2 linked regions of the Caenorhabditis elegans genome follow. The protein of the gene in region 2 purifies or fractionates together with the protein of the main gene of each other region. This does not show direct contact. Each region holds a gene or a part of one and is shown on either strand. Other genes may lie near its edges.

Region 1 (3,555 bases), on a different chromosome or scaffold from region 2:
ATTTTCATCTAAACCATAGTGTAAGTTACTTTGGTTTACGTATTAATGGCAATTTCATGTATTTTGTAAAGAAATTGAAGATTCTAAACCAGGGGTGTGCGGCAAATTTGCCGATTTTCCGAAAATTGCCGACTTGCCGAGCTCGGCAAATTTGCCGATTTGCCGAATTTGCCGTGCTCGGCAAATTTCGAAATTTGCCGCACACGTCAAAAATTTGACAGTACAATTTTGACTAAAACTATTGATTTTTTAGCCAAAAATTTAGTAAAACGACACAAAATTGAGCTATTTTGATGCTTAAACAGACATACTACGCGGAAGTTATTCAGAAACCAGATGTGTGTTAAGAATTCAGTAGTTTTGGTGCTCCAAAAAACATAAAAAATATCAAATTTTTCCGAGTTTGTCAAGCACGGCAAATTTGCCGAATTTGCCGAATTTGCCGTGCTCTGCAAATATTGAAAAAAGAGATTTGCCGAATTTGCCGAGCTCGGCAAATTTTGAAAAACCAGCAATTGCCGATTTGCCGAGCTCGGCAATTTTTTCCATTTGCCGCACACCCCTGGTTGAGATCTTTTTGCTACCAGTGATGGTTCACGCGGGGATAACTTTGCAGTAGTTAGTCCGATCAAAAACTGTCAACCAACCAAGTTGCCGGAATGGTTACTTGATTTTTGATTTTCATCGATTTTTTTATTTAGAAAAGTGGACAATCGAAAAACGAATTTTTTCAAATTTTACATTTCTTTGGCCAATTTCGAATAACTGCCCATTTTGTCCTTAGATCTGGTGAATAGAAGGGCTGTGCGGCAACCGAGATTTTCGGTAACCGGCAACTTTTCGGCAACCGGCAACCAGGTTTCTAAGTTTTTTTGTTGAAATTATATTTTTGGGCGATCTGGAAAAAAGTGTGGTCGTTTTTTTTCGGCAACCGGCAACTTGGTTGCCGGCCCAGCCCTGGTGCATTTCTTGCGGTTTGCGTTCTTCCGGACCTACAGCAATCCAAGTTCTTAATAATTTTGCATTTTGTCGTAATATCTGGACTTTGCGTATTTGTGGGGCTACAGTAGCCTAGAACACTTTAACAGAAAATCTTCTACCACTGCTGCTTCATTTACATAAAAACAAGTTCAATTACTTTTTCTTTGCCATTTTTGGCTCATCAGCATCGTCCGACTCCTCTGGTGGCAACGATTTCACATTTCTGAAAATTTTAATCAATATCAGTGGCCAATTCTACAAACATACGCAAGAGTGTCTTCAGCTTCATGTCTGCTCCTTTCAATTGGAGTTTTTGCCGGCGGGGTCCTAAAAATACATTTTCTAGTGAATCGCGCAATTTTAAAACTTACTGTGCAGTCGGGCAAGTCTGCGTGGACGATTTCTTAATAGGGTTTGGGCAAACTGGCGCATTTTGGGGGACTAGATCGGCCTGCAACAAGCCATTTTATTAGGTTTTCTTTGGTCCAAGAAACTCACTCTTTCATCGTCTCTAAACTTCTTTTTTGACTGACACTGGGCAATCGAGACGATCAGCAAAAAAAATGGTCCGAAATAGAGGGAAATCTGGAATTTTTCAGTTAAGTGCTGATATATTTAATAAAAATTTCCTGAAAATTAAAAAAAAAGACATACGCTCTTGAAAATAGTTGTAAACGAAAACATGTCCCATCAATTACTGCATACAAGTGAGAATTGAAAAAGGATGACTTTGAATTTTTATCTAATGGGACTTTTATAATCTAACAAAAAACGTCAAAAAACACGTATTTGTTTGTTTTTTTAAACAATTTCAATTTGATTCCAAAATTAAATTTCCACGTGAACTTCCACATAACCCTATAAATGATGACATTAACTTGTTTTTTTTGTTGTTTTGTCCAAAAATCGATCAAATTATTACGTTCTCTTCAAACGGTCATCGCTGGTATGAGAATAAAATCAATTATCAGCATGATAATTCTGCTGAAGATTGCGATTTTCGGAATTGTCACAACTTTCGTGGAATGTGGTAAGTCACTCAGTGTTGTTCATTGCGAAAATAATTCAATTTCAGATAATTTTAATGTAAACAACGTCGAATCGCTGGATCATTCAAGTCGTCGTCAGTTTGCGAGAGCTGTAAGCTCACACAATAGTGAGTTTAAAACGTTTTTTGTTTTGTTTGAGCGCATCTGCCCATCACAGGAACCGCGCAACATTGACATTGCGACTCACCTCTGCCGCACACTCCGCGCGCCCGCCACATCACATTATGAGTACTGCGGCTGACGTTTCCCGGGTCGCGCGCACTATAGCTTGTGTGCAAGAGAAAAATGCGATGGTGTGTGAGCGGCACGGTGGTACAGCAGCTAGATGAGTGCAAACGCGCTCTACCGAACAATCCCAATTTTGGCCGGTTAGGAAATTTTCAACCAAAAAATTTCTCAATAGAACCAGCCCGACGGCGGCGGGAGTCGGGCTGGAAAGTTGCGCTCTTGTGGTACGCTTGCTAGCAAACGATCGGAAATTGCGACAAGGGATGGGCGGCAAACCGACCTTTTCGCCAAATTTAGCGAATTCGGCGAATTCAGCCAATTTTCGACAGAATTTTCGGCTAATTTTCGGCGAATTCGGCGAATTTAGCCGGCAAAGTTTACATTTGTTCCGATCAGCCGCCCATCCCTGCTCGCAATGTGGGAATTATGAGTTATTTTCTTGATACACGCATCGTGTCTGGTCCACGATCGCAAAGCCCCATTGTGCCTTAGGACGCGTTATTCGCACACCGCCAATCAACCCTAAAGAACAATTAACTTTCCAGATGAAGACCCCGCAACTCTGTTCAAAAAACTACCTGCTGTTGCTCGTCTCATCACAGCCATTGCAATAATCAATGGATTCTCCGATGGCTCCATCCCCGCCGATCCAGTCATTGCGGAACTCCTGAACATTGACACTGCCAGTCTTCAACAACTGGAGAAGTTCAACAAGACGTCTGTAGATAAGTTCATGGAAAGCTTAGGGAGCGCTGTAATTGACTCACATCCGGATACATTGAAAGTTGAGCAGGCAATACTTGATATGTCCGAAGTGAAGATGGCATGGAAAAATATTGGAAGCTTAAGCAATATACCGGCAAATGATACGTTACATTCTCTGTTAACTATTGGGTCCTGGGATATATCTGGATTGAAATCATTTGATTTGAAGAGCACATTGGATATGATGGTTTCAGAAAGTTCGACAGTTTCTGATGTTAAGAAACAGCTAGCCGACTTATCTTCCTCTGTCAAGAAACTTGCGTTTCTAAACACAATGAAACCTATTATTGAGTTACTTGAAAAATGGAAGCCGATTAAACCGTTCGCAGATATTATGGAATTGTATCTAGGCGCAGGTGCGTTGTGGTACCCGCCGCCAAAACCTAAATTCACAGAAAACGCTGAAGCTGTAAATAACATATCACTTTATGCCGACAAATTGAATATTTTTGTGATGAAAGAAGTGGTTGGGTCCCCCTATTCGCAGATAATTCGGAATGTCACTGCAGGATTTGCAAACGGAATTTCGGAT
Region 2 (5,602 bases):
TAATCTGAATTAAGATTCAAACATCCATAGACTTCATTTTCAGTCTATTTTTAAAGTCCCGTTTGGCAAATTTAGAAGACCCATTCCAAAAACGTCTCAAACTATATTTTCAGGAACCGATAATATGGTCTACAACAACACAATGTACTACAGCGAGAACGATCGATTGATTTCATACAATTTGAAAACTGAAAAATCGAACTATATACCTTTGAGAACTTCTTTGGTACTGACCATAATCGCTATGGGTATTCTTAATTTCAAATGTTTAGAAACCTCTCTACGCAAATTCTACATCTCGGCTTGACGTACAGGCAGAAGAACATGGAATATGGGTGCTCTACAGAAGACAGGACGAGACGGTTCTTACAGTCAGTCGAATAAACTTCCACACCATGCAAGTACGTTATTCTCTGCGTTCTCTATTGTTTCGCGTATTACATCTCCTGTACATCATGCTGTAGTCTTTGAAAAAACGTTTTACATTTTCCTCGGAGTTAAATGAAGAGAATATCTGCAGTGCAAAGAATAATTTTTTTTTAAATTCACAGTTTTACTTCTGTATGATTAGAGCACAACATCAGTTTAAAAAAAAGTTTCTCGGCGAAAGCCATCCGCATAAATGCGCTTCTCTCAAAAAGCAAAACATTGTTATTTCAGATAGTTTCTAATTGGACACTTCCTTCAATTGACACTTCAACAATGTGTAATGCGTTCGTCAGATGTGCAATTTTATACTCTGTAGAGTGTGATGGAACTGTGACACCTGTCTATGACTTTTATAGTCACACATATATTCAAGGAAGAACTACAGAATGGGAAGGACTTTCTCAGCCAATTTGCAATGTACAGTATGACCCTAATAGCAAATCAATTGCTGTTTACGCAAATGCAAAGATCTACAAAGTTCCCGTACAACAATAACTACATTATCATAACTATCAGTAAAGTTTAACAAGCTTCAACTTTTATCAACAATTTTTAGAACACATTAAAATTTATTTTATTGCAAAAGTACATTGAAAAACAAATAAAATCACATTCTCCTTAATCCTCTACTTTCATTTGAATTGGAAGAAGATGTCGAAGATAACCAATTACTTGTCGTTTCTAAGAAACTTGTTTTCAAAGGTCTAATCAAAGACGGTTTTCCTTTTCTTAATTGAAGAAAAACTATAATCGCCACCAGAAGAAGGCCAATTCCAAGAGCCACAAATTGTAGAACCCTCATCAATCGAGGCACTAATACAAATCCGAGCCATACTTCATTAAAAATGAATTGGTGATATTTCGGTGATGTATCCTGCCAGAACAGTGGAATCATAACATTTGGCATATTTTGACTACTTCTGAAAATAGTTTGAATTTTTTAAAATTGAATTGTATTTAACTTACGGAACATCATGAGATCGAATGACTGGCATATTCACTTGAAGACGATTTACAACTTTTAATGTTGTTCCACTATACTAAAAAACAATTATTTCCAAACTTCAATGTCCAATTTAAACTGAACTCACAGGTTCATGGTAATAAATCATTGGCTCATGTAGGCTTTTATTGGGAGCCATTCCAACTACAGTAGTCCGTACTTCATCTGGAGAGAACAGGAAATGAGGAGGAGAATAAACAACGGCAAATGGTGTTGGTTGAAGTCTTCCTGGATAGCATACAAGTGGAAACATTCCAGGTGGTAGAAGGTATGTTCCATTATATAGGGAACCATCACAACATGCATGACAGAAATTAATTGACTTTGAACAATCAATAGAGCCTGATTGATGACATTGACCTTTTCTGAAAATCAAAAATTTATAATTGAAGTTTCTCTTTTTCACTATTATGTATTGTTGAATTAAATCATATTTTCAATCAATCATTTCGATCGATCCCCGCCCCATTGGGTCCCGGATGTCTGTCACTCTCTAACTATCTACACTCTCTGTACCGGTAATACTATTCGTTCAGAAAAAATCTCAATCTTTCAGGAAATCTTAAATCAAATTTCAGACAAAAACTTATCAGCTTTTTTTTCAGAAAAACTCCAAAATTTTTGCTGCAAATTAAGAGAGTAAAAATTATTCGAAAAAAAACTTACGGTGGACATTTTGGCCAGTCAGGAAAATAGTTTCTCTTTTCAATATTTCGATAACGGAAGCCCACATTGTTATCAGATGTGGTGTCCCATTCGTCGTACCCAATATGATAACTGTGAAAAGAGGATTATTTATTTGTTTTGTGACAACTAACACACCCAATTGTTGGAATTGACTCAATCGTTTCCCTCTGGTAAAAGGTTTTTGTGAATGATCGGCACATGAATGAAAAGAACATATCAGCAGTTGATGACTCGTCCAAGTGCATTTGAGTGAAACTTCCAGAATCTTAAAATACTTTCCTTTTGAATGTGTTTAAAATAAATTGCATTAAAGTTCAATAAATTCAATTCAATTCAATGCGAGATAATGGTCAACTCACCACTTCCACGAATACTTCTAGCCTTTGGAGTAGTCCACCATTCCCCAGGAAGTTCTGTAATTCCAGCCCATCGCTGAACATTTCCTATTTGGTTTATATCTTTCTTTCCCGTTTCAATCCAATATTCCTCATCTCTTGAGTTGTTATACTGAAGATATATTCTCAATTCGAAATATAGTTCCCGATCAGAAATTAGCTTTCAAAAGAATCTACAAACCCCTTGAAAATATCCAAATTTCGGCATAGCTGGAATCGGAATTGGAACGATACTTCCACCATCTCCTTTGAATATTCCTGATAAAACTGTCACGAACTAAAAATTAGATTTACAGCTACTTTTTTTAAGTTAAAAAGTTACCCCTGAATGAGCAGCGGACAGTAAAGCATCCTCGTAACCGTCAAACAGAACTTCACGAACTTTATGAGAACTGCAAACTTATTTTAAAATAAGTTAAATTCGGTGAAAAACTTACACAAATGGATATTCACCAAGAATTGTTAAAGCCACTGCAATAATTGTTCTTCCCGTTTTTGTGATTTGGAATTGTGGATCTAACATTGAAGCAACAGCCCCCTGAAAACAGACATGAAATCAAGTTGAGGCGCCACGTGCACTCGCCCGCTAATCTATCAAAACTCACCAATCCTGGTGGATTCGGAAAAACAATATTTCTGTCCCAGTCACAATCTTCACACGAATAATCTTTTGATAAAATATACTTTTTGTAATTTTGATAAAACATTTGTGATTTATCATCACTGAATTCCAGATATTTTTTCTGCTCACTTTCCCTTCAAATTCGGAATTTAATTAACATATCTATGAGGAAAATTCAACTTACATTACAGAAAATGGACCAATTTCTACCAAATTTGGTGCAGCAGAATAGTATTTCACTTCGTCTGGATTTGTAACATTAAAAAAGTAGAATTTCATTATATTATCCACTTGAGGACTTGTATATTGAAATGCAGAATATCCTAGACTGGTATCAGAATTTTCAGTTAGTTGTAGGTTCTGATATCATGCAAGTTTAGGAATTAACTTCACTTTTCACGGGAATACCTTTATGACCAGAGTACTGTAAATTGAAGAGAATGCCGCCCAAGTAACAATTCCAAACACAATAAACACAATTGCAATAACAACTAAGAATACATCTAGTTTATTTATCCGTATCCGAAAACCCATTTTCTGAAAAAAAAAAAGAAACATATAAACCAATTGAAATTATCAAAAATCGATTTAAAACAGAGTCAGAAAGCATGTAAATATGCTGTCTATATGGTTTACGTGGCTTATCAGACGAATTCTTTATTATCAGCAGCTAACTATATTGTCGTACATTGAAATGCCCTGGTTATCAATGGCAGAAAACACGTTAGATGCAGCTTCAGGTGAATGCTCAAAGAGTTTGCACTGATCGTATGGGTCGAACTATACTCCAGAGATTCGTGGAGATTTATTTTTTTTTTTAATGATTCATAAAAATTGATGGTTAAGAACCTATCGTAGCTACAATAGAAATTCTACACGGTCGAGGCGAAGAGTGGGCGTCAGGGGGAGTTTGTCAGTATAAACTTTAGATGTAGTAAAAATGTTTAAATGGTTAAACAAAACAGTTTGAAATTTGAAAATTGTTCTAACTATCAATCAAAGTTTTGAGTTGATTTCCCAATTTTACTGAACTATTAAAAGTGTACAAAATCTTCAGATGTTTTGAAAAACTGTTCACACCATTGAAATAATTTCGGACATTTCCTACTTGCTGTAATTCATTGTTATTTGTTTTAAAAAAATTAAAATTATAAGCTGTTACCTCTCTAAATTTGAAAACTTAGTTTTAAAATTATCAACTAGCTCTAGCGGTTCTATCGTTCATATTTTTAAAAGCGTCTTCAGGGCGAAAGGAATCGATTTTTTAGAACGTCAACGGCCAATGGGACCAAATAAAGAATTAATCTCAAATTACTTAAACATATTCAAATCATCATTTTATTCTCTAGAAAATCAATCAGGTGATATCATTACAGAGATCAATCATTTTTCAACACTATGTGCACGATCCTTCCACAAATCATTGTACTGGCGACCAGTGTCAACTGCAAAAAAAAATAGTTTTTTATTACAATGACTCAAAAATCGTACTCATGGCATCCGATACTGTCTCTCCAAGCTCACGAATCGATGAATCGACATCTCCGGATGAAGATTTTCTAGCTCTTTTCGAAAAAGAAGATCCCTCATCAGTGAAACGAACACTTTTCGAGTTAACGGAAGAAATAGATTCACGACGCAAAGGACGTTTTCGTGGGCTATTGATACCTTGAAATGAGTAAATGAGTTAAAGGTGATTCAAGATAAAACTACCTGGAGTATGCTTCTTCATCGGTGTTGGTGGTGGAACAGGTTTGAATCTTCCACGAAGATCTGGATGAGCATTCATCAGAGAGAGAGCAACAAATGGAATTCCGTCAACCAAAAGCTCAAAAGCTTCAAATTCTGGATCTTGTGCGTATTCAGCAACAAATCCACGAACTGAAATATGATCAATTATGTGAACTTTCAAAACAATCTCAGGGCTCACCTTGATTACGAGCAGCTGGATTCTTGATAATTGCAAACTTTTGAACTGGAGGAATATGCTCCTTCTTTGGTAAAGATTTTCTCGAAAGAGATCTTCTTTTTTTCATCGGAGATTTCTTCAGAATGCTTTTACGACTGGAACCTGGTGATTTGTTGGATCTATTGCGTCGACTCTCAATTTCAGCTTGCAAAAGTCTTCTTCTAGCACTTTGCGAAATCTTGTTACGGTTCCCAGAAGTGTTTCCAATTTTCGATCTTTTGCTTGAAATAGATCTTTCAGATCCTGTTCCCGAGAATCCAGACGACGAGCTACGAGGAAGCTTGCTTTTAATTCTTGGTCTTGATTTACTGGAACTAGTAGTTGAAAGGAACGAATCAAGACGAGAACGACGGCTTGATGATGGAGTAGTTCCAGTTGACACGAATGTAGAATCAGATTCTCCATCATAAGAACTACCAACTGAAGAGAGAAGTGATGAGAGAGTATCTGCCTGTAATATTTATAATTTTCAAAGTTGTTAGAAAGTTTCATGCCCG

What was found. Proteins that work in one complex are often made in the same cells at the same time.
Region 1: the proteins of scav-6 (region 2) and Y57G7A.3 fractionate together in Caenorhabditis elegans (co-fractionation; one large-scale study listed by BioGRID). This does not show direct contact.

The regions. Positions count from the first base shown.
Region 1 is NC_003280.10:1,283,913-1,287,467, reverse strand, and holds Y57G7A.3 (uncharacterized protein), read right to left. Parts: upstream 1,687-3,555; 5' UTR 1,666-1,686; coding exon 1,636-1,665; intron 1,567-1,635; coding exon 1,480-1,566; intron 1,433-1,479; coding exon 1,353-1,432; intron 1,309-1,352; coding exon 1,249-1,308; intron 1,205-1,248; coding exon 1,135-1,204; 3' UTR 1,095-1,134; downstream 1-1,094. Other genes in the region: Y57G7A.6 (uncharacterized protein), read left to right, coding at 1,930-2,011, 2,057-2,137, 2,804-3,555.
Region 2 is NC_003279.8:7,352,562-7,358,163, reverse strand, and holds scav-6 (SCAVenger receptor (CD36 family) related), read right to left. Parts: upstream 3,674-5,602; 5' UTR 3,671-3,673; coding exon 3,545-3,670; intron 3,497-3,544; coding exon 3,321-3,496; intron 3,271-3,320; coding exon 3,120-3,270; intron 3,053-3,119; coding exon 2,952-3,052; intron 2,907-2,951; coding exon 2,837-2,906; intron 2,792-2,836; coding exon 2,696-2,791; intron 2,627-2,695; coding exon 2,479-2,626; intron 2,385-2,478; coding exon 2,255-2,384; intron 2,210-2,254; coding exon 2,099-2,209; intron 1,798-2,098; coding exon 1,521-1,797; intron 1,470-1,520; coding exon 1,396-1,469; intron 1,350-1,395; coding exon 1,037-1,349; 3' UTR 989-1,036; downstream 1-988. Other genes in the region: F07A5.4 (Olfactomedin-like domain-containing protein), read left to right, coding at 114-226, 273-401, 661-924; spsp-1 (uncharacterized protein), read right to left, coding at 4,520-4,581, 4,628-4,804, 4,850-5,017, 5,067-5,556.